Linked DNA regions of Caenorhabditis elegans. The protein of the gene in region 1 purifies or fractionates together with the protein of each later gene. This does not show direct contact. Each region holds a gene or a part of one and is shown on either strand. Other genes may lie near its edges. The genes, in order: drr-2, exc-4, B0222.5 and zig-12.

Region 1 (5,637 bases):
AGTGTCGATATCGCTCACGCGCATCGCCGCGAACCATTTCTTTTCGGTTTCGGTTTCCAGTTTCGTTGGCGGGTGCACCACAGCGTCGTCGAACATTTCTGGCTGAAAAATGATAAGAGGGGTACGGTATTTAGTAACAACTTTACGTGTTTTATTATTTCACAGACTCAACTTTAATTTTTTTTTTGAATTTTTTGCATCTTTCGTAAGTTTGCCTTGTTAAAACGGTTTCTAATCTGGTGGGAAAAGTAGGAAAAAGCTTCAAAAACCATTTAAAAAAACTACAGTAATTCGTTCCCACTCGCTGCGAGACCCCTCGTCTCGGGAGGTCGCCCTCCTTTAAGTCATTACGGTAGTTTTGATACCAAATATAGACGTAGAGGCTCAATTTTCAAGTTTTCAGTACTATTCTACATAAAAAAATTTAAAATATACATTTAAAAAAGCATGATTAAGTGGGGATTAATAATTTTTTATCCTTTTCACCTCGATAACACCCATTGTGCTGGGCATCTTCTCCCACAGTCCACTTTTCTTCACCGTCTCTGCATCCGGATCCCAAGACGTGTCAAGCTGAGCCATGAGCTCACAATACGCTTCCATAGCTCTCGACCGGCTCATCTGACTATTCGCTAGCCACGAGTTGAACTTTTTGCGCGCGACCGTTTCGAACCAGTAGGGACCTTTTTTCGAGTCTGAAATTGTGTTCTTTTAGTTTCTCAGCTTCAAAATCGTCCATTTTAAATACCTGCTGGACCTTCTACAGCCTGCTTGTAGAGTCCATAGAATTTTAATATAGTTTTCTGATCGATTTTTGTCAGAAACCCCGGCAACCTTGTCGTCGCCGCGTCGAATTTCGCCTCAAGCAGCGTATCGATGGGTTCTTCTTCTTGATTTTCATTTTTTGGATGGTCCTGGAATGAAGAGACTGCCCATGCAATAATCATCTGGAAACTTTGTGTAACTACTGATTTCAGTCGGAAACAAAGAAATATGACCTGGCCTTTTCGATTAAAAATAACCAACTTTAATTCAAAAACAAAGCGAATAATTAAATAGAATCATTCATTTAAAAAGTACAGCAAATTAGTCCACCAAATCCTGGCAACCGGCATTTTGACGGTCTTCCGTCGTCATTTGGGACCATCTTTCAGGTGTGTAGGCGCAGATGGTGAGCGCGTGAGTTTCGTCCATGATTGGAGCAAGAGCAGCTTGGACCAATCTGTAAAATTGGAATAAGTTTATATTTACATTACTTTAGTGCAATCGTTGGGAAAACCAGCTCAGCTTGACTGTGACTTCCTTTAAATTCTTCCGTTTAAATTAATTTCCACGTACGTGGATCCACCCTAAGCTTTCAGCATTTTCAGGCTTACCGGTGAGATTGCAGCGTACACTTGCCCTCAAACGCCTCAGAGACGATGAGAAGCCGAAATTTGTATCCATCGCAGCCTCCGCTCTCGTCGACGACTTTCTGGAAGAAATTTTCGGTTTTTTTAATGAACAACATCAATAAAACTCACCAAAATCTGCGGCTTGATGGCTTCTGTGAGTAGCGCATTGACTCTTTCCACTGGTGATGCCATCTGTCGATTAAAATTTAATTTAGGAACTGAAAATTGAGCAGAAACGAAAATTGGAGAAAACCACACAAAAACCAGATTTTGAAAAAAAAAGTATAAAAATATTTTTTTATTGATTATTCATATATTTCGCATGTTTTTAGTGTATTTCTATAAAGAAAAATAAAGGAATAACTAGTAAAATCAACAGAACAACAAGTAGGTGGGGGAAAATATATGCTTTTGGGACTTTTTGGGGTTTAACAACAAACAAACTTTTTATGTGAAAGGATTCTGAGGTAATTTGTGATCATTAGACATTCAGAAGGGGTTGAAGAAATGGTTATACCAGCGGAACTTGACGGAAAGTGACGAGGGGACAAATTAGGGGATAGGCTCCTATGATTGCAGGATTTCGTGTCATTCGCGGATCGAAATTCAGGGAAAAATCGAAAAAAAGTTTATTGGAAAAGCTTCTCCTGGCGTCTCTTGGTCTCCTCTTCTTCTTGCTTCTTGCGAGCCTCGATCTCAGCGGCATCTGTGGTACGGGGCTTCAGGTTGAGACGTGGACGTTCTGCTGGCGGAGCTGATGGATCTGAAGTTTCCTCGGCTTTGTGTTGTTCTTCGCTCTCGCGACGTTGTCGGTATCCACCGCGATGTCCTCCGCCGCCAAATCCGCCACGACGCTCTCCTTCGTTGAAGCGGCCACCTTCACCGCCACGCCGGAAGCCTCCTGCTCCACGACCACGTCCTCCGCGATCTCCGAAGTTTCCTCCGCGTCCTGAGCAAAATTATTGTTAAAATGAGCGGAGAAAAATAAAATAATAACTGAAATACCTCCACGACCACCTCCGCGGTCACTGCGATCGCGCTGTTGGGCACGATTAACCTTGAGTACGCGATTTCCGAAATCGGCTCCATTAAGGCCACTGATAGCAGTATTCATCTGTTGTTCATTCTCAAAAGTGACATATGCGAATCCCTTGAAACTTCCAGAATCTCTGTCGTGCACAAGATGAATATCGAACTTTTTGAGCTGAAAAAACATTTATTAGAAATTTCCTGCTTTTCCGCAGTACCTCTTCATCTGTGAACTTGCAGTGCTTTAATATAGTTTCGATGTCAGTGGCGATGGAGTCATAGGGGAGCCCACCGATGAATGCCTGTAAAATTCGATATATTTAAAATGCCATTGCTTTGAAGTACCCACTAACCTTAAAAATCTCATCGGCCATTGCTTGAAAAGCTTCCCCAAGTGAGACGTCTTCTGAAATTCATTTAAGTCTTTAAAAACGCACACACGAAAGCTCGAAAATACATATTTGCAAATCAAATTATTTATTTAATTTTTTTCCAACTCTCAGTCCGCAATCTCGCGTGGCATTCGGTGTATTGGCACAGTGCCAGAGAGACGCAGTGCGGCAGAGATGCGTAGCCGCCCCGTTAACATGGCAAGGGGCTCTACGCAGCGCGTAGAGACGCAGACATGTAACGCTTGGCAAGATGCCAAACAAATCGATACGCCCTTTTCAACAGCCGTTAGAGGAGAATGGGCGGCAGTTTGAACGATTTTTATCTCATTTTCAGTGGAATAACTCATAATAATTATTTTAGAGTCAAATTCGTATCGATTGAAGCTTCAAAAATCGAGAAAGCCGACTATATGAAGTCCAAAAGATGATTGTAAGTGTTCACCGTTCAAAATTTTAACTATACATCAAAATTAAAATTCCAGTGCATCGAATGTGGCGGTACCGCGTTCAACAACACGGAACTATGTGAAAACTGCATGGATGTTAACCGTTCTGGCACGATGTCGTTGGATATGGCCCGTCAGGTAGGAAATTTTCGATTTTCCACTATTTTTTTTTCTAAAATCAGAAAATTTGCAGTGTGACATGTCGTCCAGCTGTGGATCGTGCCAAAGAATGATAACTGCAGATTCGAGGCAGTGCACAACTTGTCGGAAGTGAGATTTTGAATTTTCAATTGTTTTTCACCGGATTAAAATACATTTTTTTTGCTTTCCAGAAGCTACCATCTCTCCTGCGACTCTTCCGACGTCTCAAGCCTGAACAATTTCGTCTGCATATCCTGTCGTCGGCGAAGCCAAATGCTGCCGGACGACGTGATGCTTTCAGCCTCCGCACGCCCTTCTCGCGGACAAGACGCACCTCTTTCTCCATTCAGCGACCCCTCAGTTCCCCAGATTTCACTACAAATGCAACCGGCACCTCTGCCGTCCAGTTATCCTAGAAGTCAGGATTTCAACGGGGATGTGTACACCCAAATAGCCGCCATGCAGCAACAACGTCAGCAGCAGCAGCAAAATCAAGTTCAGCAGATGTTGGCCACACAGGCACAGCTTATGGATGAAATTAGCGATGGTGGTGGTACGAATGACAGCGATCGGAATAGTAGTCCATTTTATCAAGAGGCTTCCGACTACGATGAGGATTTCGTGCCTGCTAGGTATGCCGTAGATTAAAATTCCGTGAAATACGAAAATTCGTTTGAAAATCGAATTAAAGCCTTAAAGGAACACCGTAATACCTTGAAGGAAAGGATGCCCCACTAAAAGGGGAGCAGAACGAAAAGGGGAGCTGGCACTGTGCCAAACGCACAAAACGCCTTTTTCTCATTCAACGCACGTTGATTTTTGAAATTTTCTTATAGAAGATACGCTTAACAACACACGTAACATCGGAGCATCGTTGTATCGTTTCCTTCGAGAAAAATAGCGTTTGGCACAGTGCCAGATCCCCTTTTCGTTGCTCTCCTTTTCATATCTCTCCTTTTCGTTTTGCTCCCCTTTTCGTGGGGCCTCCTCAAGGGAAGCACACTTTTACTTGGGTCTCGCCACGACGAGAAATATATTACTGTAAATTTCAAATTTTCGCTGGTGTTCTTTGTTTTTTGGGTCACAAATATAGTTTTCTGGTAGTTTGGCACAAATAATTTTTTAAAAAGTAGTTTTTAACCTAGTAAATTAGAAAAATTCTGAACTTCAGAAAAATTTATCGATACATACCGTATTTCTCTTATTAGTATGACCTCCGTATCAGACTTGCACTCCCTATTAGTGTTGCACTTCATACCCCCTCTGAAAATTAGTATTGCACTCCCCAATAGTCTTGCATATACTTTTGTCCTGCAAATTGGCCTCACTAATTTTAAGATTTCAACTATATTTTATGTTTATTTTGCAATAATTTTTGACAAAGTTCTATGAAATTGGAATTATTGAACCTTTTTTATTGCAATTACAATCAAATTTTCTAAATTTCCAAATAAAATTGGAATTCTTTCATGTAAAAACTAGAAAGTCCCAACTCAGAAAAATGTTCTGAAAATTAGTATGGCACTTCCTAATAGTATTGCAAGCGGGGAGACCTTCGAAAAATATTGCAGCCATATTAATAGAAGAAATAAGGTATTTATAAAAACACTTTTGTTAAATTAAACTTTTGGAAAATTAATATTTTCCAGCACTCGCGGACGTGGACGTGGTGGAGGCGCCAAGAAAAAACCAGGCCGCGGAGGATCCACTGGTACTCGTCGACAAACGAATCCCGGCCCGTCGGGCTTCTTTTCCGCCACACAGCTTCAGGCGATGAGTGGTGATTTCTCCCACCTTCACCAACCGCAACAAACATCATCGACACGTGGAAAGAGGGGAAAACGAGGAAACGGCACGTCGGTGCCACGTCAGCCTGGCAAGGGACCGGGTCGTGGACGTGGCCGTGGGCGCGGTAGTGCAGCCGCCATTGCTCAGCTCGCCCAGCTTCAACAGGTGCAATACGGTGCTCAGGGAGCCCCAATGTTCAATGGTGCCCCACAGCTTCACCCAACCCAACCCACTGTTGCTCCTACTCTTCCACCCAGTGTTACCTATCAAAATGTTGCTCCAACTGCTCCTCCTGCTCCTCCTGCCCTTCAGACCCCTCTTCCCGATCCGCTGCCCTCAATTGTTCCGAGTTTCCAGCAGGCCCCACAGGCGGTCGCAATTCGAGAAGTCGACGAGCTGATGCTCGAGGATGAAAGCTCACGGCAGTCTGGCGGCTCAAGATCTGAT
Region 2 (9,959 bases), on another chromosome or scaffold:
ACCATCGATTTCTCACTTAAAACCGGCTCGGAACATGAGGCATACACTCAAAATAATAAAACTGAGTGGCGTGTACTGCAGAAAACCTCATAATTAGGCCCCGCCTTTTTGTCGTCCACTCACGGGGAAAAGGCAAAATTCGGGGACCAACCAATATCAGGCCGCCGACATCTCATGGGTTCCGCGCGCCGCTATGTTTAACTCGCAGCGGGCGGAGGCAGCTTGCCACACCCACAACGAGTTAAACATAGCGGCGCGCGGAACCCATGAGATGTCGGCGGCCTGATATTGGTTGGTCCCCGAATTTTGTCTTTTCCCCGTGAGTGGACGATAAAAAGGCGGGGGCTAATTATGAGGTTTTCTGCAGTACACGCCACGCAGTTTTATTATTTCGAGTGTACACGTTTTGATCTACAAAAAATGCGGGAATTCAGACGCAGACTTTTCTCAACTGATTTCTGGGTTTTTGCCTGAAAAATGACGTATATCGATCAATTTCACCACGTCAATAGAAATTCCAGAAATGCCACTCTTCACCTGACGGCATCTAGTTTTCGGAATCTCGCATACTATTCACATATATATATTTTATGAATAAATCGCATCGCATAAACCGTTTCTGTGTGATTCGTTTCCGATTACACCACCAACAGCAGCACCCGCCGACCGACCGACCGACGTCTCCACAATTTTTATGATTGTATGTATGTATGTATTATATGTTAGTGTCTAGTGTAGATGTATTTGTATCTTTCTCTTCTTCTTCTTCTACTTCTACACACTGCGGGATTTCCAAATTGGACATTTATTTGGGGGACGGTTTTCTCTGGGGTCTCTACACTCTCTGTTCGATCCGTTCGGGGGGTGTCTCGTCAATTAACAAGTTGCGAGACCATGTACCTGCTGACTTTCTGGACGATTTCATAATTTTTTTTCGATTTTTTTGGCATTTTTTATCAGAAAAATGTGTACTTAAGCCGTAAATCGACATAATTTTTAAAAGAGCCATTTTGGCATGTTGTTTCATTAAAATCTAATCACGAAATATAGAAATCGCAGAATCTAACCGAAAAACTTAATTTTACTTTAAAAAATTTTGCGAAGCAATTTAAATCTTTTACACGTGGTGTCAGACTGTCTCATTGCGGTTTGATCTATGAAAAATGCGGGAATATTTTTCCAGAAAATTGTGACGTCAGCACGCACTTAACCATGCGAAATCAGATTAGATGTCTGCGTCTCTTCTCCCGCATTTTTCGAAGATCAAAGCAAAATGAGACTTTCTGTGACTCCACGTGATTCTAATATTCTTTACCAAAAATATTTGTCACGGAATATAGAAAATGAGGTTTTCTAATTCAATATAGCTTTAATTCCAATTGAAAGGCTTTAGGAGGACATCTTGTCTGAAAATCGGGAGATTTCCCGCAATTTGCAACTTTCAGCTAGTTTTTTGCACACTTTAGAACTAAAATACCTCGTACCTTGTATTTTAGTTCAAAGTGTTCAAATCTCGTCTAAAAGTTGCGAATTACTGAAAAACCCCCCATTCCATTGCAATTACAATTACAATTTTTGTTACTAAAACCTTAAACCTGAAATTAAAATATATTTTTAGTAAGAAATATTGAAAGTAAATTCCACAATGGCTCATTTTTTATTACGGGAACAAGAAATTCTGAGAATGCGTACATCGCAACATATTTGACGCGCAAAATATCTCGTAGCGAAAACTACAGTAATTCTTAAAATGACTACTGTAGCGCTTGTGTCGATTTACGGAAATCGTTTATTAATTGATAGCGTATTAAAAGCACACTTTAAAAATAACACAGTAAAAAAAGCTACAGAAAATTGAATATCATTGTCTCGAAAGTCAGTCCCGTAAATCCACACACACAGAGCTACAGTAGTCATTTGAAGGGTTACTGTAGGTTTCGCTACGAGATATTTTGCGCGTCAAATATGTTGCGATGTACGCATTCTCAGAATTTTCTGTTCTCGTAATAGAATTTCCCCTGGAAACTAAAGTTTTCAAGCTATCTCGAACTTGCTTTGTATAATATTTTCTAGTAACAAAACAAAAAATTTCTTCAATTTCATTGAGAAATTCCCAGAAACAAATTTCCAGAAACATGCTAAAATCTGATGCTGAAATCCAAAAAAAGGTGTGGAAAACTCCCAAAACTAGCTATTAAATCTAAATTTTGAACATTCATTGGAAAATTAACAAATATTCGTAAAAAACGGATGTTGTTACCTAAAATTTCCAGTATTTACACCAATTGTCGTAAATATTTTCTCACTAAATTTAAAAATTCTCCATTTATTCGATATATATATATATCATTTACTATATATAAAGCGCTTATTCTGTGTGTCCATAGTTTGTAGTCTATGTGGTCTTTGTAGTCTGTGAAGTTTTGGCTTCTGGAGGGATAGTGAGTTAGGGTTAGTGTAGGGATATAGTCGGGGTACTGTAGTGGTACAATAGTGGTACGGTAGGAATACTGTAGGGTTACGGTAGTTTCATAAAAAATTAATTTTCAGCCCCAGAAGTCGGGGGCCGCGCCGAAGGTGCGGTCCACGGCTGGTATATATATATATATATACCAGCCGTGGTATATATATATATATATATTTAAAATATACACTAATTTTCTTCTGTTTCTTCCGGATTTATTGTGTTATCTCACCAAATTTTCCTCTCCAACAACCACCGCTAATTCCAGATATGGCAGAAGCTTACCAGATCCAATCAAACGGAGATCCCCAATCAAAACCTCTTCTCGAGCTCTACGTAAAAGCGTCAGGAATTGATGCTCGCCGCATTGGAGCCGATCTTTTCTGTCAGGAATTCTGGATGGAGTTGTATGCTCTTTATGAGATTGGAGTTGCACGAGTCGAAGTGAAGACTGTCAACGTGAATTCTGAAGCATTTAAGAAGAACTTTCTCGGAGCACAACCACCGATTATGATTGAAGAGGAAAAAGAGCTGACATACACTGATAATCGAGAGATTGAAGGACGGATCTTTCATTTGGCAAAGGAATTCAATGTTCCACTCTTTGAAAAGGATCCATCCGCTGAGAAGAGAATAGAGAACTTGTACAGGGTGAGTGTATGGAAGAAGAAGAAGCCCGGAAACTGTCGATTTACGCGGATCGTGTACTCCTCGTGGAAAAGATTCTGTAGTTTTCAGGGTTGTGGGGCACTTTTTTTTCACTTTTTCGTCAAAAAAATGAATTTTTAGTCTAAAATTGATATAGAAATATAGAAAACGGGTTGTTCTATTTGAAAATAACATTTACTTTTGTTGAAAATCTTGAAAAAGACCTCAAATAGTGCCTGAAAGTTGCCGTTTGCCGGAAAAGTGCCGTTAAAAGTTTTTAGATTAAAAAAACTGGGTTCTTTCAAAATGAAAATCCCTTTAATCACATACACATGAAAATAACATTAATTTTTGTTCCGTTTGCCGGAAAAAGTGCCGATTAAAGGTGATTTTCATTTTGAAACAACCCAGTTTTTTTAATCTAAAAACTTTTAACGGCACTTTTCCGGCAAACGGCAACTTTCAGGCACTATTTGAGGTCTTTTTCAAGATTTTCAACAAAAGTAAATGTTATTTTCAAATAGAACAACCCGTTTTCTATATTTCTATATCAATTTTAGATTAAGAACGAATTTTATTTTCCACGAGGAGTACACGATCCGCGTAAATCGAACGCCTAATGTGTTGATTTACGCGGATCGTGTATTCCTCGTGGAAAAGATTATCCAGTTTTCAGGGCTGTGCGGCACTTTTTCGGCAAAAAAATAAATTTTTAATCTAAAATTGATATAGAAATGTAGAAAACGGGTTGTTCTATTTGAAAATAACATTTATCTTTGTTGAAAATCTTGAAAAGCCGAAAAAGTGCCGTTAAAAGGTTTTGATGACTTTTTCAAGATTTTCAACAAAAATATATGTTATTTTCAACTAGAACAACCCATTTTCTACATTTCTATAAAAATTTAAATCAAAAAATGGATTTTTTGCGAAAAAATGCCTTGTACTCCACGAGGAGAACATTTTGCAGTTTTTGCTGATTTATAGTGTTTTCAGTGAAACAAAAATACATCATTTCCCCGGGAAAATTGAAAATTTTTGTTAGAAAAAGCGAAAAATACAAGTTTTTAACGAAAACTCTGAAAATTTCCGCGAAAAATATTTAATTCATCAATTTTCAACAGGGTTTCCCCACGAAAATCGTCAATTTTCGTAAAATTCTCGATTTTCTTTTGAAAATACCGAATTTTTACCGAAAAATAATCACTTTTCCGCCAAAAACTGCATTTTTTCAGAAATTTCTGGTTTTCTCACTGAAATGCAACATTTTGTCATTAAGTTATCGATTTTCTGATTAAAAATACCAAATTTCATAGAAAATATGAAAACTGCAATAAATTGATTTAAAATATTGATTTTCAGCAAAATCCGTAAAATCTTCTCCTCGGGGAGTACACGAGGCTTCACACAGCTTGATATCTCAAAAATGTCCTTTTTTCGATGAAAAAATTTAGAAATTGGTCCAATTTTGTCTTAACAGTATGGAAAATTCTGTTTTTTCCTAAAAAAAAAAAAGAAACATTTCCCAATTTTTCCGGAAAAACTTCAAAAAAAATCCAATTTTCCCGGAAAAACTTCAAAAAAAATTAATTTTTCCGGAAAAACTTCAAATAATTCCAATTTTTCTGGTAAAACTTCGAAAAAATCCATTTTTCACGACGCGCGTAAATCGACAAAGTTAAATTTGACGTTTTCCCCCGTCTAATTTCCTCTCATTTTTCAGAACTTCAAACTGTTCCTGCGAGCAAAAGTAGAGTTCGATAAGGGAAAAAAGGAGCCATCGAGAGTTGAAGATCTTCCAGCACAGATTAAAGTTCACTACAATCGAGTCTGTGAGCAACTATCCAATATTGATCAGGTAAAATACACACAGAAATCTGCGAAATTGCCCATTTGCCGAAAATTTTAATTTTCGGCAAATTTTCCGGCAAATCGGCACTTTGCCGGAATTGAAAATGTCCGGCAAGTTTCCGATTGCCGGGAAATGTTAAGTTTCTGCAAATTGCCATTTTGCCGGGAAATTTTAAGTTTAGGAAAGCTACCTATTTGCCGAGAATGAAAATTTCCGGCAAATCGGCAAAACGGAAATTTTGAATTCCGGCAAATTGTCATTTTGCCGTAAATTTCAATTTTCGGTGAGGTACCTATTTTCTGGAAATTTTAATTTTCGGCAAATAGGTACTTTGCCGAAAATAAAAAATTACGGTAAATCGGCAAAACAAAAAATTTCAATTCCGGCAAAGTGCCAATTTGCCGGAAATTTTCAATTCTGGTAAATTGCCGAAAATGATCAATTCCGGCAAATTACTGATTTACCGGAAATTTCAATTCTGGCAAATTGCCGAAAATTTAGTATTCCGGCAAAGTGCCAATTTGCCGGAAATTTTCAATTCCGGCAAACTGCCGATTTGCCGTAAATTTTAATTTTGGGTAAGTACCTATTTTCTGGAAATTTTAATTTACGGGAAAATGGCAATTTTCCGGCAAATCGACACTTTGACGATACAGAAAATTTCCAACAAATCGGCAAAACGGAAAATCTCAATTCTGGCAAACTGCCGAAAATTTATTATTCCGGCAAATTGCCAACCTATCGGAAATTTTAAAATCCGGCAAACTGCCGATTTGCTTGCCGGATATCAATTTGCCGGAATTTTATAAAAAGATTTTTGATAATACTGAAACACTTCATAGGATGCGTTTTCCGTTTGAAATTGAAATTCATAAAAAGTTTCAGAAAAATATATGCGCAATTGCCGGTTTGCCAAAGTTGCCGGAAATTTCTAGCAAACCGGTAATTGCACATTTTCCCCAATTTTCCGGCAAAATCCCGATTTGCTGGAAATTTCTATTCTGGCATTTTGCCAAAAATTTAGTATTCCGGCAAATTGCCGATTTGCCGGAAATTTCAATTCCGACAAATTTTCCATTTTGCCGTAAATTTTAATTTTAGGCAATGCAAATTTCCGATGATTCGCCGGTAAAGTACCTATTTTCTGAGAATTTCAATTCTGGAAGTTTGCCAAATTTGCCGGAAATTTGGCAAACCGGCACTTTGCCCAATTTCCCAATTTCCCCAATTTTTTGTGATAAATATTGTTTATCGCATCTTGTCAACATAATTCCATCAAAAATTGCCCCCATTTTATTGCAGTTGCTATCCGAGAGAAAATCTCGATATCTACTTGGAAACAGTATGACTGAATATGACTGTGAACTGATGCCACGTCTTCATCATATTCGAATTATTGGATTGTCACTTCTTGGATTCGATATTCCACATAATTTCACTCATCTCTGGGCTTATATCCTCACTGCATACCGTACAGCAGCATTTATTGAGAGTTGTCCCGCCGATCAGGACATTATTCATCACTATAAAGTGAGGATGAAGCTGCAAACTACAGATTTGTTAGCCGGAATCAGGGGTGCCGAGGAACAATGTTTTTTGTTGAAAAAACCAACCAAAAAAAAATTCGAATTAGCCATGAAACATACAATTTTTATTCTAATTTTGTCTATATTTTAATAAGAAAAAACATACGAATTATTATTCTGAAAAAGAAAAAATGGCCAAAAGGTTTTAGTTCAGAAGATTTCGGAAAAATTCAATTTATTTAAATAATATATCTCCAGTTTGATTTATATGAAAAATGACAAAAATTGTGGCTTTGGGGAATAATTTCGACTTTTTCATTGAAAATCTTTTTTAAAAAAACGAGAAAACTATTGATTTCTCAAAAAATATGCTAATTTTTATGTGAAAGTGTAGAAAAAGTCTTTAGAAATAGCAAAAAGACCAGAAAAGGATGTTTTTTTTTTTTTGCTTGCAACAATTCAAAATTTTCGATTTTCTCTTGAAAAAAATCCAAATTTCGGCCGATCAGGACATTATTCATGACTATAAAGTGAGGATGAAGCTACAAACTACGAAGACTCGACACTACAAACTACAGATTTGTTAGCCAGAATCAGGGGTGCCGAGGAACAATTTTTTTTTGTTTAAAAAAACCAACAAAACATGCAGAATTCAATATTTTTATTACAGCTCACGCCTTATTTCATAGAAACAACAGAAATTGCACTTTTTGAGCAAATTTGACCCCAGTGTTGGGTTTTTTGAGAGAAAACCGAGACAGGCGCGACTAAAAATGCACCATTTTTGAGGTTTTAAACGCCAAATTTATATGAAAAATGACAAAAATTGTGTAAACTAGTACTTTTTCACGCTTTGGAGAAATAGTGCACTTGAATTTTCGATTTTTTCATTGAAAATCTAAAAAAAAATCGAAAAAAAAATTTTTCCCGATTTTTCCCGGAAATTCTTCCATTTTTCGAACAAAATTTGGAACATTTCTGATTATTTCAATATTTTTAGCGAAAATCTGGAAATTGTTAGTGTTTCCACTTTCGATTTTGACCAAAAAAAAAACCAAATTTCGGCTTAAAAATTGCTAGGATCGTCAATTTTGCTTATTTATTTAGCCTGAAACGAGTTTAAAAAAATAGCACGATTTAAGGAATTTTCGAGGAAAATAGTACTTCTCACGATCTCCTCAAAGCCGATTAATTATTAGAGCGCGCTTGCAGCGCCTCGCGTTTCTGCATCCGGGGTATTTTGCCTTTCCACTGAAAAAAGCAGCTTTTTTTTCAGATTTATCGAATTTTTAGCTTTTAAAAATTTTTTCCTGCATTTTTCGAACAAACCGTTTTGTTTAACAGTGAAAATCGAATTTAGAATGACTAAAATGAACTTTTTTCGTCCACTGGTTGTGAAATGGTTTGAATTTGAAGAAATCAGCGGGATTTTTCTTATTTTCTAAATATTTTTCTATTAAAAATTGGATTCAACATTTGTGACTTAACGTTAGGGTCAAAAAATGGTTTGCAACCGATTTTTAATAGGAAAATATTCAGAAAATACGAAAAATCCCGCTGATTTCTTCAAATTCAAACCATTTCTCAACCCGTGGACGAGAAAAGTTCCTTTTAGTCATTTTAAATTCGATTTTTACTGTTTAACAAAACGGTTTGTTCGAAAAATGCAGGAAAAAATTTTTAAAAGCTAAAAATTCGATAAATCTGAAAAAAAAACTGATTTTTTCAGTGGAAAGACAAAATACCCCGGATGCAGAAACGCGAGGCGCTGCAAGCGCGCTCTAATAATTAATCGGCTTTGAGGAGATCGTGAGAAGTACTATTTTCCTCGAAAATTCCTTAAATTGTGCTATTTTTTTTAACTCGTTTCAGGCTAAATAAATAAGCAAAATTGACGATTCTAGCAATTTTTAAGCCGAAATTTGGTATTTTTTAAAGAGAAAATCGAAAAATTTTAATTTTCCTGGTCTGCAAGCGCGCTCTAATAATTATTCGGCTTTGAGGAGAGCGCTTGCTTCTATGATAATTAATTTTTTTGAAAAATGTTTGGTGTAAATTTTTCAATTTTACAGCGAAATCAACAAAAGTTTGGTGCGGCTAACAAAACTCTAGTTTGTAGTCGTTTCCCAATTTATGTGATTTTTAAACCCCAAAATTCTCTGAATTTGCAGGAACAAATGAATCTGTTCACAAATCAACGTGAAACCCTCCAATCGCCAACAAAAACGCACACAATTCCGGAAAAAGTGCTATCGGATATTCGTGTTAAAGGACTTGCTCCCGATGTTAATGTTCATTAAATTAAATTCCCTCTACTATTTGCTCTTTAAGTGACAGATTTCTCAACGAAAATTTAAAAAAATTTCGGCTAAAAATTGCATATTTTGGTAATTTTTTCGTCGAATTGACACAAAAAACCGGAATTTTGAATTTTTCTTGTAAAGAGAAAATCAAAAAATTTTGGAAAAATTGGAGCTGATTTTTATGTGATGAAAATCTATTAAAAAAATGGCAAATTTGTTCAATTTTTTTGGCTATTCTTTTTATATATTTTTCCCACATTTTCACATAAAAATCAGCAAAAAAAATTCAAAAACCGAGTTTTCTCAGAAAAACGCCTAAAATTTCCAGATTTTCGCAAAAAATATTGAAATAATTCTTCGAAAATTGGGAAAATTTCCATTTTTTCAAAACAAAAAAAGTGCGGGAATATTCGGAAATTTCCGATTTTTTTTTCAAAAAATCAGACATTATCCAGATTTTCGCTTTAAAAAACCGACTTTTTTCAAAAAATACGAGAAAAAGCGATTATTTCAGATTTTCGTTGAAAATTCTGAAATAAAACAGAAAATTTGCAGATTTTCGCTGTTAAAACCGAAAAAAAATTACAAAATTTCCAATTTTTTCGGGAAAAAAACGGAAAAAATCAGAAAATTTCCAGATTTTTCCAAAAAATACCGGCAATATCTGAAAATTTCATTTTTTTTTTTGCAAAAATACTGGAATAATCAAAGTATTTCCAACGTTTCTATCTGAAAAATCAGAAAATTTTCCAATTTTTTTGCAAAAAAAAACGTGAAATGTATTAAATTTCCAGAATTTCCCAAAATTTTTCACAAAATTTCCAATTTTTCCAACTTTTTTCAACAAAAAAAATCCGAAAAATCTGTCATTTAAAGAGCAAAAAAATGTTTTTCCGCGAAAAAAACTGTCTAACTCTCTATTTCTCTTCTCTCTCTCTCTCTCCCCACCCACACACACACACACACATCTATCTCATTTTATTTCCATTCCGGCCTTCCCCCTCCACAAAAAGAACCAACGATCGATTTTTTTGAAAAGCATAATATTTTCCCGTTATTTATATATTTATCTTTTTTTTTCTATTTTTTGACTGAAATTATACCCAATTTGCTCAATTTTGACTGAAAATTCGACGCAATTCTCCCCATATTTTTTTCTAATTTTTTTT
Region 3 (7,044 bases), on another chromosome or scaffold:
CTATCCCTAAAGGTATTTTGGCTTCCTTTTGAATGTTTTGTTTTTTCACGGCTGCAAGAAATACATGTTTACTAACAAATGTAAATGCGCAAAACATGCCAAGAACTTTTCCACAGCAGAATCCCGATTTTGGATCATTTTACCAGGAAAAATTAAGCCATTCTAAACCTCAACAAGAATCACAAGCACGTGACAATATGTAGCGATTATCAAATTTCAAGCAATGTTTTGCATTTCAGTATACACTAGAACTTCAATTGAATTGTTGAAAACTTAATTTAGAAAAATTGAATCAATCAAGATATGCAACATTTCAAAGGTTCATTCATCCTTCTCACAGAAAACTTTTCTCATTTTTCCCCAGCACATATTCTTCTTCTTTGAACCAAGCAAGTTCTATCCAATTAGAGGAATCATTTGCATATTGCTCAAGAGAACCTGGAATATGAGACGCAGACTGAAAAGAAAAAGGCGGAGAACGGAAGGCACTTCATAGTGTTTTGGCACCACGTTTAAGAGCCTCGGAGCTTCACCCACAGGAGCCATTGGAAAATATCAAAACAAAACATCTTTAACCCCTGGGTGCTTCACTCATTTTTTGGTTGCAATTTCTAACCTCTTTTTTTTCTCTTTTTACAAAACCGGGAGGCTCGTTTTTTAATCCATTATTCACATTGTTTTCAGTTCAATGAATTCATCACAGAGTACAATCCAGAAAGAAAAAGAGAAAAAAGAAGACGAGGAGGTGTTGGAATTCTTTTTTTTTCTATTTCTGGGTTTTTTGTTTCGAGTTTGAAACTGCAAATATTTTGAACAAGTTTTAAACCTATTTTTCTGCATCTATTCGTTTCAACTTTAATTTTTTACAAACATTTGCTCATAACTCCTTCATATCCGACTATCATACATTTGATTAAGAGTTTCTAAGAAAAGAAAAAAATTAAGAAAAAAAAAAAGTAAAAACTAGTATCCTAGGAAACTTTGACAGCATGTCAATATTATAGGCGGACAAAATTCTCAAAATGAATTCTATATGTGATATTGCAAGGGGTTTTGAAAATTCAAATTAGAAACATTTATAAAGTGAAGAGACCTGAATAAAGCAGGTTTTCAAATTACAAAATATCCGCATCATAAAAACCATACAGTTCAAACAAATTGCCAACAACTAACCAAAACTTGAACCAATTCCTTCACACTAATGGAATTAGTGTTTGTTCTTATTTTGTTTGATCTAAAACTATATTTACTTATTCCTTTTAAATTCAACTCTTCATCTCAAACTCTGTGGAAATGACACTCCTAAAAAGTTAAATTTCAGTTGAACTCCGTATTAAACCAAGTGAACGGAAACAATTATGAGCGTGCACCCTGTCATTATCTGTCTTTTCATTTTCTTTTTCATTTTGCCGCCTTCTGCAGATACTACTGTGAAGTGTTTTAAAGGTACGTTGAATGAGCAGAAGAGCATTTCGTGTGCGTGACGAGTGATTCTTTAGGGTTCTCGGGAGATGGAAGGCCGTTCAAACAACGTCTTTGTCAGACAGAATATTGCATAAAGTGGGTTGAAAGAAGAAAAAGAAAAGGCAGCAAGTTTATTGGAATTTTCATTTTGCAGAACGACAGAGCCAACTGGCGGAGCTACTTACGGATGTGATGACTTTACGCCGTTTTGCAAAGTGAGCGAACAAAACGAGTTTGAAATTGAAAGAACAAATGTGCAAAGTGAAAATCAGAAAAAAAATTGTCGAAAAGATTGAATGTGGCGCAGCCCTGGTGTAGATTTTCTGGAAATTAATTATAAAAACCATACTCATTGAAAGAGCAATGTCAACTTTAACAGAAAACAAATACTAGAAGCGGACAAAACCCATATGTAGCGGACAAAGCCCAATGCTACATACTGTAACTATGGAAAAATAACGGAATACACTTTCGCTTGTAGAAAATGAGTGGGGTCAATGCCGGTTTTATCTAAATGTATGTATTGTCAATTTGCCAAAAAATGACCAACAGTGAATAAAAATCACAATAAGGATTATTTAAACTTAAATTTAAAAACAGCGTATTTTTCTATCGTCTGACACTTAACAATGGTTCCGGTCTTTGAAAAAAATATTAGAAAAATACATTCCTATATGTTATACTTGAAGCTCGATTCCCGTATTGTTTCTCAAAAGTATAATTTATGATTCTTAGTGATAGAAATTCATTCTAGAACGTTTTGTTGTTTTCTTATTCTAAAAACTCGTGAGTAACGTTTTCTTCCAGTGATTTCCATAGAAACTTCTAGACTTTTCTATTCTTTTAATCTTTTCTCAATGTTTTCTTTTTTTCAGAAAGACGAATGCGTGGTCACTTCGAAACAAAGTAAAGTCTGTTGCTGTAATACTGATCTGTGTAACTCTTCTCCAATCACTTTCTGGCCTGTGTCTCTACTATTCTTCATTTTATTTTCTTATTTTATGTCTAGTTATTAGTTTGAACTTTATTTATTTAAAAAAATATTCCGACAAAAACGGGTTATTTTCTGATGATTCACTTCTTTTCCCGAATAAATGTTTTTTCAACTAAAGGTAATTCTGTTAGTCAAACCAAATTTATTGGTGTAAAAACGAATCCAAAGAGAATAAGAGAATGTACCAGTTTTATCGATTGATCATTGCATTCTAGTAGTTGACATAATATGATAAAAAGGAAGTAAACCTTTTTTTTCGTTTTTCGTCGAACAAAGATTCGTTCAGCAATTGATTCCTTTTCTTGTTCTCAACTAGCACTGATACTGCTTAGTTTTTTCTTTTGAAAAAAGATACTGTTTCAATTTTTAATCTTTCTTGATTTTTTGAATCTTCGGAGAGAAGAAAGAATATAACTTGGCTTTCATATCCTAAGAAAATTATTTTTTTCTCGAATTTTTCCTTTATTTGAAATATTTTTGTTAATGTTTCCAAATATTTGTGAACACTTTTTGATTCACCTATTTCATATGCACAGAATTTATGTACATAAAAATAACTTACATAAAATTTCATCGGCGAGTGATGAAAATAACCAAAAGCCAGTAATTCCCAAATACAATAGATCACTCAATGATCAACTCATAGCTCTTACTATTTTTTGTTCTCGAAAATCAAATAATGTTTGTTTCACTAACTAGTTATTATTTACCTTCATTCATTTCCTCGTTTCAATCATTCCTTCGAACGCAATTTTTTGATTTCCGGCATGCGAGCTTTCTGCATAATATTACTTGTTGGATTCACCCAAGTCAATGCTCTGTTTGGAGACAGATTATTACGAGCCAGGTTAGTTCTTTGGAACAAAAATTGTTAGGCACAATTTATGAAAAACCAATTTTGAAATAATTAGAACCCTAGTAAGTGAAAATATTTTTCAACAGTTCGGTGTCCACTATTAAAAAAATAACAGTTTTGTTTAAGAATTTTATATTAATAAAGTGTTGAAGCAACTGGTGGAAATTTTAATTTTTCAACATTACTTTGCTTATTTCAAATTTATTATAAAAATGTAATATTTTATTACAGAAACCCAAAAACTGGACCATGCACGTTGAATGATGATGGACTAAAATGCAATGAAAATGGTGATTCTAAACTTTAAATTATATTAATTTATTCATAATTTTAGGATACTATGAAACTGTACAATGTAACTCTGAATCATGTTATTGTGTTACTCCTCACACTGCACTTGTTGCATACGACACACGAACCAACAATCCGAAAACCGCGCCAAAATGTGGAAGTAAGTAGAGACCATTCAATTTCCTAAGTTTTCCCAAAAGTGACGTTTATCGTTTCAGCTTGCCTTGTTTACCTCCAAAAGCTGTTTGCCGACGGAGATCCTCCAGAAAATAGTTTCGTACCAAAATGTGACGTCGGAAAAGGTATGAAAAAATAATGCTAAAGATAAAATATAAGTATTTAAGGTGATTTTGAGCCTGTACAATGTGACAGTAAGAAGAACCAATGCTACTGCGTGGACACAAATACTGGAAGAGAAATACAAGGGACACGAAAACCATTGAGTAACACAACAAAGATGAATTGCATGCAAATTGGTAGTTCAAAATCATGAATAATTTAAAATAATTCGATAATTTCAGATTTCTCCATCGATTCGTCAGCATTCCCCGCTTTTGAAAAACCAGATCCTGCCAAACCGAAAAATGATCAACCGATTGGAAAACCATGGTGTGCAAGTAACAGAAATGCTGGACATACATGCAATCAAAATAAAACTTCGATAAGAGTAAGTTGATTTTAAACCTAATAAAAAATCGGGCAAATATTTTTTTTAGTACTGGTTTGACGTTGAAACCTTCCAATGTTTCCCATTCGAACACAAAGGCTGTGGTGGAAATCAGAACTCCTATAGAACAAGTAGTGAATGCTATTTTGACTGTGTCTTGCGTAAGTTATCCACGTATTGTTTTCATGAATATAAGTGACGTTCACCAAGGAAAATGATCACAAGTAGGCCTATGGTACCAAAAATTGTAAAATGTTTCATACATTTTTGACCCAAAAGTTTGAAAACTCTGAGCCCCTCATTGACGTATTCAATTTTTAACTCAAAAATTCAATTTTTAACTCAAAAATCAAATACGATAATTGAATGCAGTTTTATTTCAGAAGACTACTTCAGTTGTGCAATGCAATCACAACCAGCTAGAAAGTCGAATGGACAATGGTATTCTTGCCCAGAAGGCCCAGATGGTCCACCAGGTATGTTTTGAGATTGATGGTTTTTTAATAAAACTTTCGAACTTTCTACTGCATAAATAATATTTGAAAATTAGCTACAAATTTTTGTGGTGAAAAACGAAACTTACAATTCCGGTTTATAAAATGTTATTTTTTATTTCATTTAAAGGATCCTGTTTTTCGGATCTGAGCTGTTTAAACGTTAGAAATACAATGTTTTAAAAACGAGTATTAGTTAGTTTAAAACTTTATTAAAGTAATAATGAACATTAAAAAAACTAACTGAAATATTGCTTCATATTTTTCAGGCTTCAAGACTACTACAACTCCAGGCCCAAAACTAACCTCTGATGGTTGTCCAAAGGGATATATTTGTTCTATGGGAGCATTCTTTGGTATTTGCTGCGAGGAGAACTTGACAAGTAAGTAATCATATTAGCGACAACCAAAACACAAAGTTTCCAGATCGCTACCAAGCAGCATTCAAACCATTATGCAAAAACAAGAAAGAAGCTTTGCAAACGAAACAGGACGATTGGTCGAGTGCAATGCTCGGAAAATCATGTTCCGATAGATTCTGTCCAAGCAGTCATACTTGTGAACATAACGAGTTTTTTGCATATTGTTGTCCGCGTTAATATGTGTGTTTTGACGTTTGTTTTCTTGCCCATTCGAACCGCCCTTCAATTCACATTCTAATTCAGGTTGTAATAAATAAGAAAAAGTATTTGTAGTTCTTTTGTTTTTCACAATGATATGTAATGTATATTAAACGACCTTTCATCTCTTCTGTCCTTTTCTTCTGTGTTGGTTTTCCACCCAGACAAATTGCCGGCCCCCTACTTTAAACGTGTCTTCTCATAGCATTGATTATTGATGCCTATGTGATATCAATATCTTTTATATTCATTTTCCCTCCTAAAAGAAATATGTTCAGAAAACTGCACCGAAACAAAGTCTTCGACCATACTAGATACTTGTTGATTTCTGATAGTGTCCTGTTCACCCCATAAAAATGTGTTAAATGCAGCAAGCAACAAAGTATATTTGTGATTGAAATTTGATGCGAATAGAATTTAAAAATAGAGTGATCACAGTTCTAGCAGAAAACGAATTTTCACAAATGAATCGGAATGATGACTTGGTCTATTTGAATTCGCTCAATGTCTCCGCAGACATGATGTGTACCCAAAAATGACTTGATTGATGATTTCACAAATGTTCCAGTTTAGTTTCGTGCTTTATGTGGAATATGCTACAAAACGCTAAAATACGATAATCGAAGGCTTCAAAACTAAACTGCGGTGGACTTTTCTAGCTCGAAATATGCAACTGAAACAGTTGTTGGGCTATTCTTTGCTCAAGAAAAAATTATTACGGCACAACAACTGTAATTTTTTTTTCTAGAAAAAAATTCATTTGAAAAATGGACGCTGATGAAAAAGTTATTAAATGAGCCGCGTAACTACATTGAAAAAATGTTAAACGTATTTTCAGAAATTGTTTTGTTAAATTGTAGAAAGAAGAATAATCAAAAATAAAACTCATAGTCAGGTAACTTTTTTTTGAATATTTTAAAGCAGAAAACGAAGGATCTCGTTTAAACTTATCAAGATTGTTTTTTGATGTCTTAGTTCAGTGTAGTTCTCTAAATAAAACAAGAAATATAGGTTTATCCGTATGTTTGCAGAAAATTAGTTCAACAGATCAAATGTTCATATTAACGTGACTTTTAAAAACATGAAAGACGGATCAGTTCAAAGTACGTTTCCGAAGTGAACACATGGAGATATTCAAAGTACATGCTGATCAAAAGAGCTTGAAATTAAAATTCGAAAATGTTCAATTGCCCTATATGCAAATTGAGAAAAACGTGCAAGTGGGGATCTTGTTAAAGATTTTGTTGTCTTAAACTTCCAGTCAAAATTTTGGCGGATTGCCAAATTTTTAAACAATACAATCTTTTAAGAAAATAAAAAGCAATGTCACATGTTCCACTCCTAGAATTTTTTACACGAATAAAAACAAAATTATAAAATTCGTAAATCGTAGAAATAATTTCTTTTGGTCTATTTCCAAAATTATTAATGAAAAAAATTGGTAATTGTCACTTTTTGACAGTAACTAAAAATTTTCCAACAATAATTTTGAAGGTAATTTTGAAACCATAGCAGTAGTTTCATATACTTTCCTCACTTGTGCTGCTCCTCCTTTAAAATGATACAGTCTACAAATCGAAGAGACTTCGAAAAATCGATAAAAGTTCGAGCAAAAACTATTAAAAACATTTCGATTTGAACCATAATTTAAAAAAAAA
Region 4 (7,044 bases), on another chromosome or scaffold:
ACCAATTTTTTTTTGATTTTCGGGGTTATGTCTTATTAGATTGTTTTCAACTTGATATAAAATTAGATATTAAAATTTGCACACGTAGATTGCAGATTCAAAAGCGGCATTCTCAAAGTGATAGCAAAAATGTTGTTTCAACTGAAGTAGTCTAAATTGGACTAGGTAAACTTTTGCCCGTTGGATGATTTTCAATATTATTTTGTTCTATGGTTTTATTTTGTTAGATAAACACTAGAGTTTACAAAAATTGTTGAAAAACTAAAATGATAAAGCACTATCTACTATCTGCATCACTGAATTACAGCAAAGACACGTATATACAGTGCTGGCCAAAAAGATATCCACTTTCTGTTTTTTGATGATTTCGATATTTTTTCCATTGAGCATAACTCCAAAACTAGGAAAGCTATCAAAAAAAGTTTCAACTGGTAAAATGTAGCTCGTGATCAGGCCTATGTATTTTTACATGATTAAATTATTCACCCAAAACATGGCAAGTGATAAAGCGGCCGACATCTCGTGAGTCCGCTTTTGATGATGATTACTAAAACGACTGTAACTCGAGAAACATATTTTTAATGGAAGGTTTTTAGAAAGTAACACGATGTTTATATAATTTTTTATTGTTTGAACATACTAACTTCGTCCTGAAACCTCCATTGAAAAAGACAAGAGAGTTTAAAGAAGAGAAGTGTAGAGTAATCTCGAGCTCATGTCTCAAAAATAGTAGATTTTTTTTTCTGAATTCTGTTTATTGGTTAATATGTAGTTCAAATATAATAACAACATCAGTTCTTCACAAAAATTGTCGGAAAAAGATTTTCAATCCAAGAAACCTGATTTTTGAACAAAGCCTCTAAACAGTGTCTAATGAGACACTAGTTTCAGCGCACACATTTTTTTAAATGGAGGTTTTAGGACAAAGTTGATATGTTCAAACAATGAAAAATTAAATAAACATTTTGTTACTTTCTCAAACCTTTCATTAAAAATATGTTTCTTGAGTTACAGTCGTTTTAGTAATCATCGTCAAAAACGGACTCACGAGATGCCCGCCGCTTTATTACTTGCCATGTGATGGATGAATAATTGCAACATGTAAAAATACATAGGCCTGATCACGAGCTACATTTTACCAGTTGAAAATTTTTTGGTACCTTTCCTAGTTTTGAAGTTATGCCCATTGGAAAAAATATCGAAATCGTCAAAAAACTGAAAGTGGATATCTTTTTGGCCAGCACTGTATATATATATATTGATTTCTGTACTTGCAAGTATATCTTCTCATGTTCAATGTGTCAAGAAACTTTTTTATTTTGGCTGATACCAATTCATGTGCATGGGACACAAAGTTCAAATTACTTTGAGAAGACAAATACTACAAAACGTTAAAAGTTACAGAAGAAAAAAAAGCGGAAAGTGCAACTACCAAAATCGAAAATCAGAAGCAACGATTAACATGAAAATTGATTTGAGGCTTTATGAATTGAATTGTATGACAATTAAAAACCAAGGGAAAATTTATAAAATTAATCGAAAACCAAGTTCAACGCTTGTTGGTTTTGTCCTTCGGAGTTCTTGACAACGCACTTGTATTTTGCTTCATCGTCTTTTTGTGGTCCGGTGATTTCGAGTAGGAATTGGAATCCGTCTTTGTCCTTATCGTCCTTCTTTACAACAGCCTTAACTCGGTCAGTGAATTTCACTGGTTTTTCATCCTGGAAGAATGAATTAGTGAAAAATATGAAATTTACTTTTTTTCTGTTAATTTAAAAATGATTTATACTAGACGGTCGTTCAGAAAATTTTTTCCAAAACAAGTTTGTTAATTTTATTTATCAAAGCATTCCAAAAAAACTCAAACTTGGTTCCAAGCATGCCCATTGAAATGTTCATTTTTCATTTTTCATTTTACATTTTGAACCAGACAACAAGTGAATTCTTTTAATGTTTATTGAACCTTTTTGCTTTTAGTTTTTTGCGCCATTTCTCTTTTTTGTTCACTACTCAAAACTTCGCTCTATCTGCTCCATGAGCCTCAAGTATCTGTCTCGGCACAACCCAAAGGCGCGGACGAGGAGGCCTCCCAACTTTTGTCTTATTTCCACACTTCTTTACATTACCCATCTCTGCCTTTCTATTTTGAATCCCCTTGAGAAAGCCGGAGAGGTTCACTTCGACTAACATAAATGTGGAAATTAGGACAACTACATTTTTTTCTTCGGTGGAAGAAAGAAGACAAAAGAAAAAAGACACGTCAGTCAGTCGATCCATCTTCGAGAAGCTCTATTCTGGTTCAACCAAAATGAATTTAGCAATGCCAAGAAAAATACCGAATAAGAATTCAGGGAAATTTTTTCCCCTAAGATTCAAAGTAAGGTGACAGACATACCTTGAACCATTCGGCCTTCATCTCAAGGTGGGACTTTGCGCGGACCTTAATCACAATCACATTTCCGTTATCTCTTTGAACAATATGTGGCTTGTCATGGAAGTCTGGGGCGTCTGAAATTGTATGTGTAAGCTTTTAGTGTTTTTGATAATGAGCTCACTTCCTGCTGCGACTGTGAAGTTAGAGCTGTTCTCTCCATCGGCGTTGGCAAAGACGGCTTTGTATTCTCCGGCAAGTGGTTTATCAAAGTCCTATAAAATGATGATTTAAAGAAGCAAAAAGGTGTTTTGTTAACAGTTAAAATTCATAATTCCGATTATTTTTTATCACAGGTAAAGCGGGATTGCTCAGAAGCGGCCCAATGGCAGCTGATAAAATCGTTTTTGTGTTCGGAGTTTTTTTTTAAGCTTAGAAAAACGAAATTTGCGACCGGGGCGGTCGACAATCGGCTTATTGGCTGACATGGAGACAGACCACCGGCGGACATCAGTTTTTTTTTTCAGTCTGCGGCATTTTGGACCGTTGGACAGTTTTTCAGTTGCTTTTCCGTTTTACCAGTAATGTAGCTTATGTGGTTTGTTTTTCAACTACTACTATCATTAGTAACTTTTACAATTATAGTTCCTAATGTGAAGTTCAAACTGCACGGCTTTTTTTAATGTTTACTGAATTTTCAAAATTACAGTTCACGTTATTGATGTATATTTAATGTGAGATACGAAAAAAATAAAGAATATAGTAAAGTAAAAAGTATTTTGTAATGATGAATGTACTTAGAGTTTCCTTTTGATCAAATGCTTAACCGTTGTTATGTTTTGCTTTTCACCTCCCGACCGACAGCTAATTCTGCTTTTGCCGCACTTTTGCCCAAAATCTACGGTAAGTCCATCAAAAACCAATTAAACGCAGATCAAAACACATACAGACAACAGTTGCAGAGCGCATCGCAGCAATGGGACCATAAAATGACTCGTGAGTCGTTTTATGTGATTTATACGAGATGCTTTGGCAAACAGTTGCTCTCAAACTGACCTTGATTTCGGCAACAAACTTGGTGCGGTTGCCTCCTTCGTCACTGTTTGAGAACTTCAGGAACTCGTTCTCCTCAAGCTCGTCTGGTCCGAAAAACCACTGAATCTTAGAAACATCAGCTCCAGTGACGATGACCTGGAAGAAAACTTAGCAATTTTCAAAAGGAAAAGCAAATTCGTACCTCAAGGAACACCGACCCGTTCTCTGATCTAATTTTTGGTTCTCCGTAAATTGATGGTGGTGCCATATCTGAAAAAATTAAAATCTGTAGTTTTATGATTGAATACGAAGCCATGAATATACGGAATCTCGGTAACCTAAAGTTTTACACACTAAAAGAAAAGAGGGGCGTGTTTTCTGATCAGGTAAGAGCGCCGCCAAGAGCGAATGAAAAATGATCTGCCAATGTGTTTTTACCATCATTTATCCATTGAGTTCACAGGAAAATAGGAGACGAAAGACTTCTTGAACGGTAGTTCGTAGTGGCTTTTGGGTGGGAGAACTAAGCAAACAATGTTTTATGTTCTCAATGAACAAGCACAAGTAGGGGAATGTTGGAGAAGATCTAGACAAGATGTGTCAACAGTATTTTGAGGGAAAACACTTTATAATGCTGAGAAAAAAAAGAAAAAGGCAAAAAGACCAATGGTTGAAGGTTGAAAAATGCTTCGAAAATTGAATCACTGGTTTTTTGTACATATAACAGTTGATTTTAGTCATGTTTTTTGTGCATTGAGATCAGCACTCAAGAATAAATTTAAAAAAAACAAATTTGAGAGGAGAACAAAAAATATGAAGAGGAGAAAAATGATGTCTCGCTTGTAGTTTCCAACTGACAAAAGTGCCAAGAGGTCGCTGTTAGAGTCCCATTTTCCCTTTATCTTTTTCTCTGTTTCACGAAGGTGTTGTAATTTCTACTTCTTCTGCTGCTAAGCTCTTTCTCCGCCTCCTGGTCGCTAGTCGGAGAACGAAACGACGAAAAAAGATGGGAAAGATGAATGTCCCGGGAGCCCCCCGGAGCTGCCCACAGATTTTGCGGAGGAGGAGAAAGGTGGATGGGATGGCACTTCCCACCTAACTCTTCATTTCTCGTCGACGTTGAAGATCCCAAAATTTTTACAAAGTTCTCAATGAAGAGCTGCAGGGCGAAGGCAAAGTTGACGAGACACGCTTCACAAAGGATATTTGAGAGTATTTTGAAATCGGAATCAATGAGCAATTTGGGAACGGATGGAAATGACGTCGCTGGTTGTTGTATGAGTATTAAGGATTTCAAAAGTTGTTAAATGAAAATGCCACTTTGAAACTGAGCAACTCGAAAGCAATGGATTTATAGACCTGTCACAATAGGACGATCATGATGTGCACATTTTTGCAAATCGCGGCGTGCGCATTGTGCATGGTTTCATTGATGATATCTGCATTGTACGTTCATAATGTCAATTCTTCGCGGTTCTTTATGACCACATTGCAATTCAACTATGTAGGTTTAGCATTGGGTCAAAGAACAATTTAGTTGATTGGCCTCATCTTACAATAAGCTGCATAATTTCCTATTTAGAAAGAAACCAGAGAATAAGCTACCAGACTTGGCCGAATAGAGCAATGTGGAAAACGATATAGGACACTTAAATGCCCCAGTCGCGTTAAAAATTAAAATATATTGCCTTTCTAGGTCTCAAAATGAGATGAATCCCAAAAATGGTAAAAACATAAGCTGACAATTTTTCAGTTAAAAACAAATTATTTTATAATAAACTTATATGAACCAAACTGTTTTCATTCTTACTTTTTTCTATCCAACACCTTGTAAGTTTTCCATATTGTAATTCAGCAGTGGAACTCCACATTCAATCTGAAAATCATGTATCAAAAGATCAAATATTATGTTTCAGAGAGTTCAAAGAGTAAGAGTGATATTGTATAAAGATGCCGAGAGTGTGTGTAATTTGAAACTTCGGTACGTCAGGGAATACCTTTCTCAAATTATTTTTCAAGTGTGTAATTCAAATATTTTCGCATGAAAAATATTTTGTAGGAGCAAGAGATACAAAAGATAGAGAAAAGAATCACTTTGTTGTGGTTTGCTTTATTTTTCTTTCTTCAATTTCAGATCGAAATTTTGTAGATTGCACTTTGTTTAAGTTGCTTCCAGTCACTGGGTAGAAGCCGATCTCATTTTTCCCATATCTTCAACACTTCAAAGGTACCATTGGAAAATAATTGGATGACGCACTCGTCTGAGACATCTGGATTTCTAATGGCTTACACTTTCTCATCCTTCATTTTTTGTTTCAACGTTAAACTACATCGAATTTGAGATCTGAAGCAGAAAATCATAAAAATTAATGATGGAATTTCAAATAAACTTCGAAATTTAAGTATTGTTTGTTATCTTCAATGTGAGCAAAAAATTCAATTTAAACAATTCAATTAAAAATATAATTCTTATTCAAAAAAAAACATCAGTAAATATAACAATGTAACAAAGAGAAAAATCGTTAAAAGTTTGTGAGCATAGAAACATTTTCAATCAACACGATGTGCGGTTTTCCTATCAGTACTGTCATTTTTTAACTGTTCGTGGTTGGCTGGCAACACAAATGTATACAAAACTAAATTTGATTCCTTTATTTTTCATCATTTTTTTCCGGACCTCAGTTGCTTTTCAAGATGGTATCTTGTTTTCCACACCTAATTTTCCACAACCATACACTGGACAATTATCAGAGTAAGTATTTTCAACACAAGATCTTATTACTTAGTTACACAAAAAACACCTCTACCTCCGCCACATGAACTTGATAGACCAAACATTTTTGCGAAAGTCCATCAATTATCATAAATTGATGAGATATTTTTCGGAACTGATATCCGTTTCTCTAGTCAGCAGCTATTCGTTTTGTGATAATAGTGGTGTGCAGTCTCGATTGAAAATACATTCCTGCGGAGAGACTTTGTCACGTTCGATGCCAGTGATTAGGTTATTGATGAGTGATTGTTGGTAAAGTGCAAAGCACATTTTTCACAGGGGGAATAACAAAACGGTCTACAACAATTTTCTCTGAACTTGTAATTCAAAACCCTGGGGATCCGGATGGTTTTCATCGAACGAAATGAACTTGAGAGGTCATATTTCAAAAACGTATAAAAAAGTATCGGTACTTGTGGATTATGTCCTCGGACTAAAAATTTGTTTATGGTTGAAAAACTGACAACGTGGGAAATACTTTTGTAACAGTGAGCGTAGGCAAAATGTAATTTCGAATGTCACGTTTGTTTAAACCATTTTTGGTGAATGCTTATATTTGAATAGAAAAACGTAAAATAACGTTCCGCTGATGTTTTACTCTTTTCAATTCCAGACGGCGAAGTGTCTCTGTAAACGAAACTCAGGGAGTTGCAGTTGTTTTCGAGCAGTTTCTTGCAAGTGCACACGATTGCGTTATAGCTTGTCCTACTAATAATGACGGCTGTTCGAGGTATGTTCCGACATGTGTTTCCTTGTAAAAAAATAATGGAATCTTTTGAACAACAGTTTATGTGGAGACGCTATGGATCACGGGCTTGTTCCGAAAATCTTACGAGTTCCGGGATCTGCTGATATTGCGATGGTG

What was found.
Region 2: the proteins of drr-2 (region 1) and exc-4 fractionate together in Caenorhabditis elegans (co-fractionation; one large-scale study listed by BioGRID). This does not show direct contact.
Region 3: the proteins of drr-2 (region 1) and B0222.5 fractionate together in Caenorhabditis elegans (co-fractionation; one large-scale study listed by BioGRID). This does not show direct contact.
Region 4: the proteins of drr-2 (region 1) and zig-12 fractionate together in Caenorhabditis elegans (co-fractionation; one large-scale study listed by BioGRID). This does not show direct contact.

Annotation. Positions count from the first base shown.
Region 1 is NC_003281.10:13,640,742-13,646,378, forward strand, and holds drr-2 (RRM domain-containing protein), read right to left. Parts: upstream 2,830-5,637; 5' UTR 2,798-2,829; coding exon 2,777-2,797; intron 2,726-2,776; coding exon 2,642-2,725; intron 2,599-2,641; coding exon 2,400-2,598; intron 2,344-2,399; coding exon 2,024-2,343; 3' UTR 1,679-2,023; downstream 1-1,678. Other genes in the region: acbp-5 (Acyl-CoA-binding domain-containing protein 6), read right to left, coding at 1-102, 487-695, 749-947; T12D8.10 (BolA family protein), read right to left, coding at 1,087-1,222, 1,377-1,474, 1,524-1,586; set-16 (PHD-type domain-containing protein), read left to right, coding at 3,240-3,245, 3,298-3,399, 3,455-3,531, 3,594-4,034, 5,052-5,637.
Region 2 is NC_003279.8:14,511,491-14,521,449, reverse strand, and holds the start of exc-4 (Chloride intracellular channel exc-4), read left to right. Parts: upstream 1-2,730; 5' UTR 2,731-2,734; coding exon 2,735-3,115; intron 3,116-4,832; coding exon 4,833-4,967; intron 4,968-6,263; coding exon 6,264-6,491; intron 6,492-8,658; coding exon 8,659-8,787; 3' UTR 8,788-9,959. UniProt on the Caenorhabditis elegans protein: May insert into membranes and form chloride ion channels. Involved in the formation of the excretory canal. Required to prevent cystic lumenal expansions in the excretory cell.
Region 3 is NC_003283.11:9,151,051-9,158,094, reverse strand, and holds B0222.5 (BPTI/Kunitz inhibitor domain-containing protein), read left to right. Parts: upstream 1-3,222; 5' UTR 3,223-3,225; coding exon 3,226-3,305; intron 3,306-3,545; coding exon 3,546-3,604; intron 3,605-3,648; coding exon 3,649-3,765; intron 3,766-3,823; coding exon 3,824-3,907; intron 3,908-3,949; coding exon 3,950-4,081; intron 4,082-4,126; coding exon 4,127-4,272; intron 4,273-4,321; coding exon 4,322-4,433; intron 4,434-4,655; coding exon 4,656-4,748; intron 4,749-5,035; coding exon 5,036-5,149; intron 5,150-5,192; coding exon 5,193-5,365; 3' UTR 5,366-5,774; downstream 5,775-7,044. Other genes in the region: B0222.15 (Activin_recp domain-containing protein), read left to right, coding at 1,359-1,446, 1,500-1,560, 1,619-1,679, 2,340-2,480.
Region 4 is NC_003284.9:8,760,539-8,767,582, reverse strand, and holds zig-12 (Ig-like domain-containing protein), read right to left. Parts: upstream 3,677-7,044; 5' UTR 3,675-3,676; coding exon 3,609-3,674; intron 3,563-3,608; coding exon 3,428-3,562; intron 2,647-3,427; coding exon 2,556-2,646; intron 2,509-2,555; coding exon 2,396-2,508; intron 2,251-2,395; exon of another isoform or gene 2,105-2,250; intron 1,722-2,104; coding exon 1,533-1,721; 3' UTR 1,303-1,532; downstream 1-1,302. Other genes in the region: M02D8.5 (CUB_2 domain-containing protein), read left to right, coding at 6,031-6,158, 6,793-6,909, 6,966-7,044.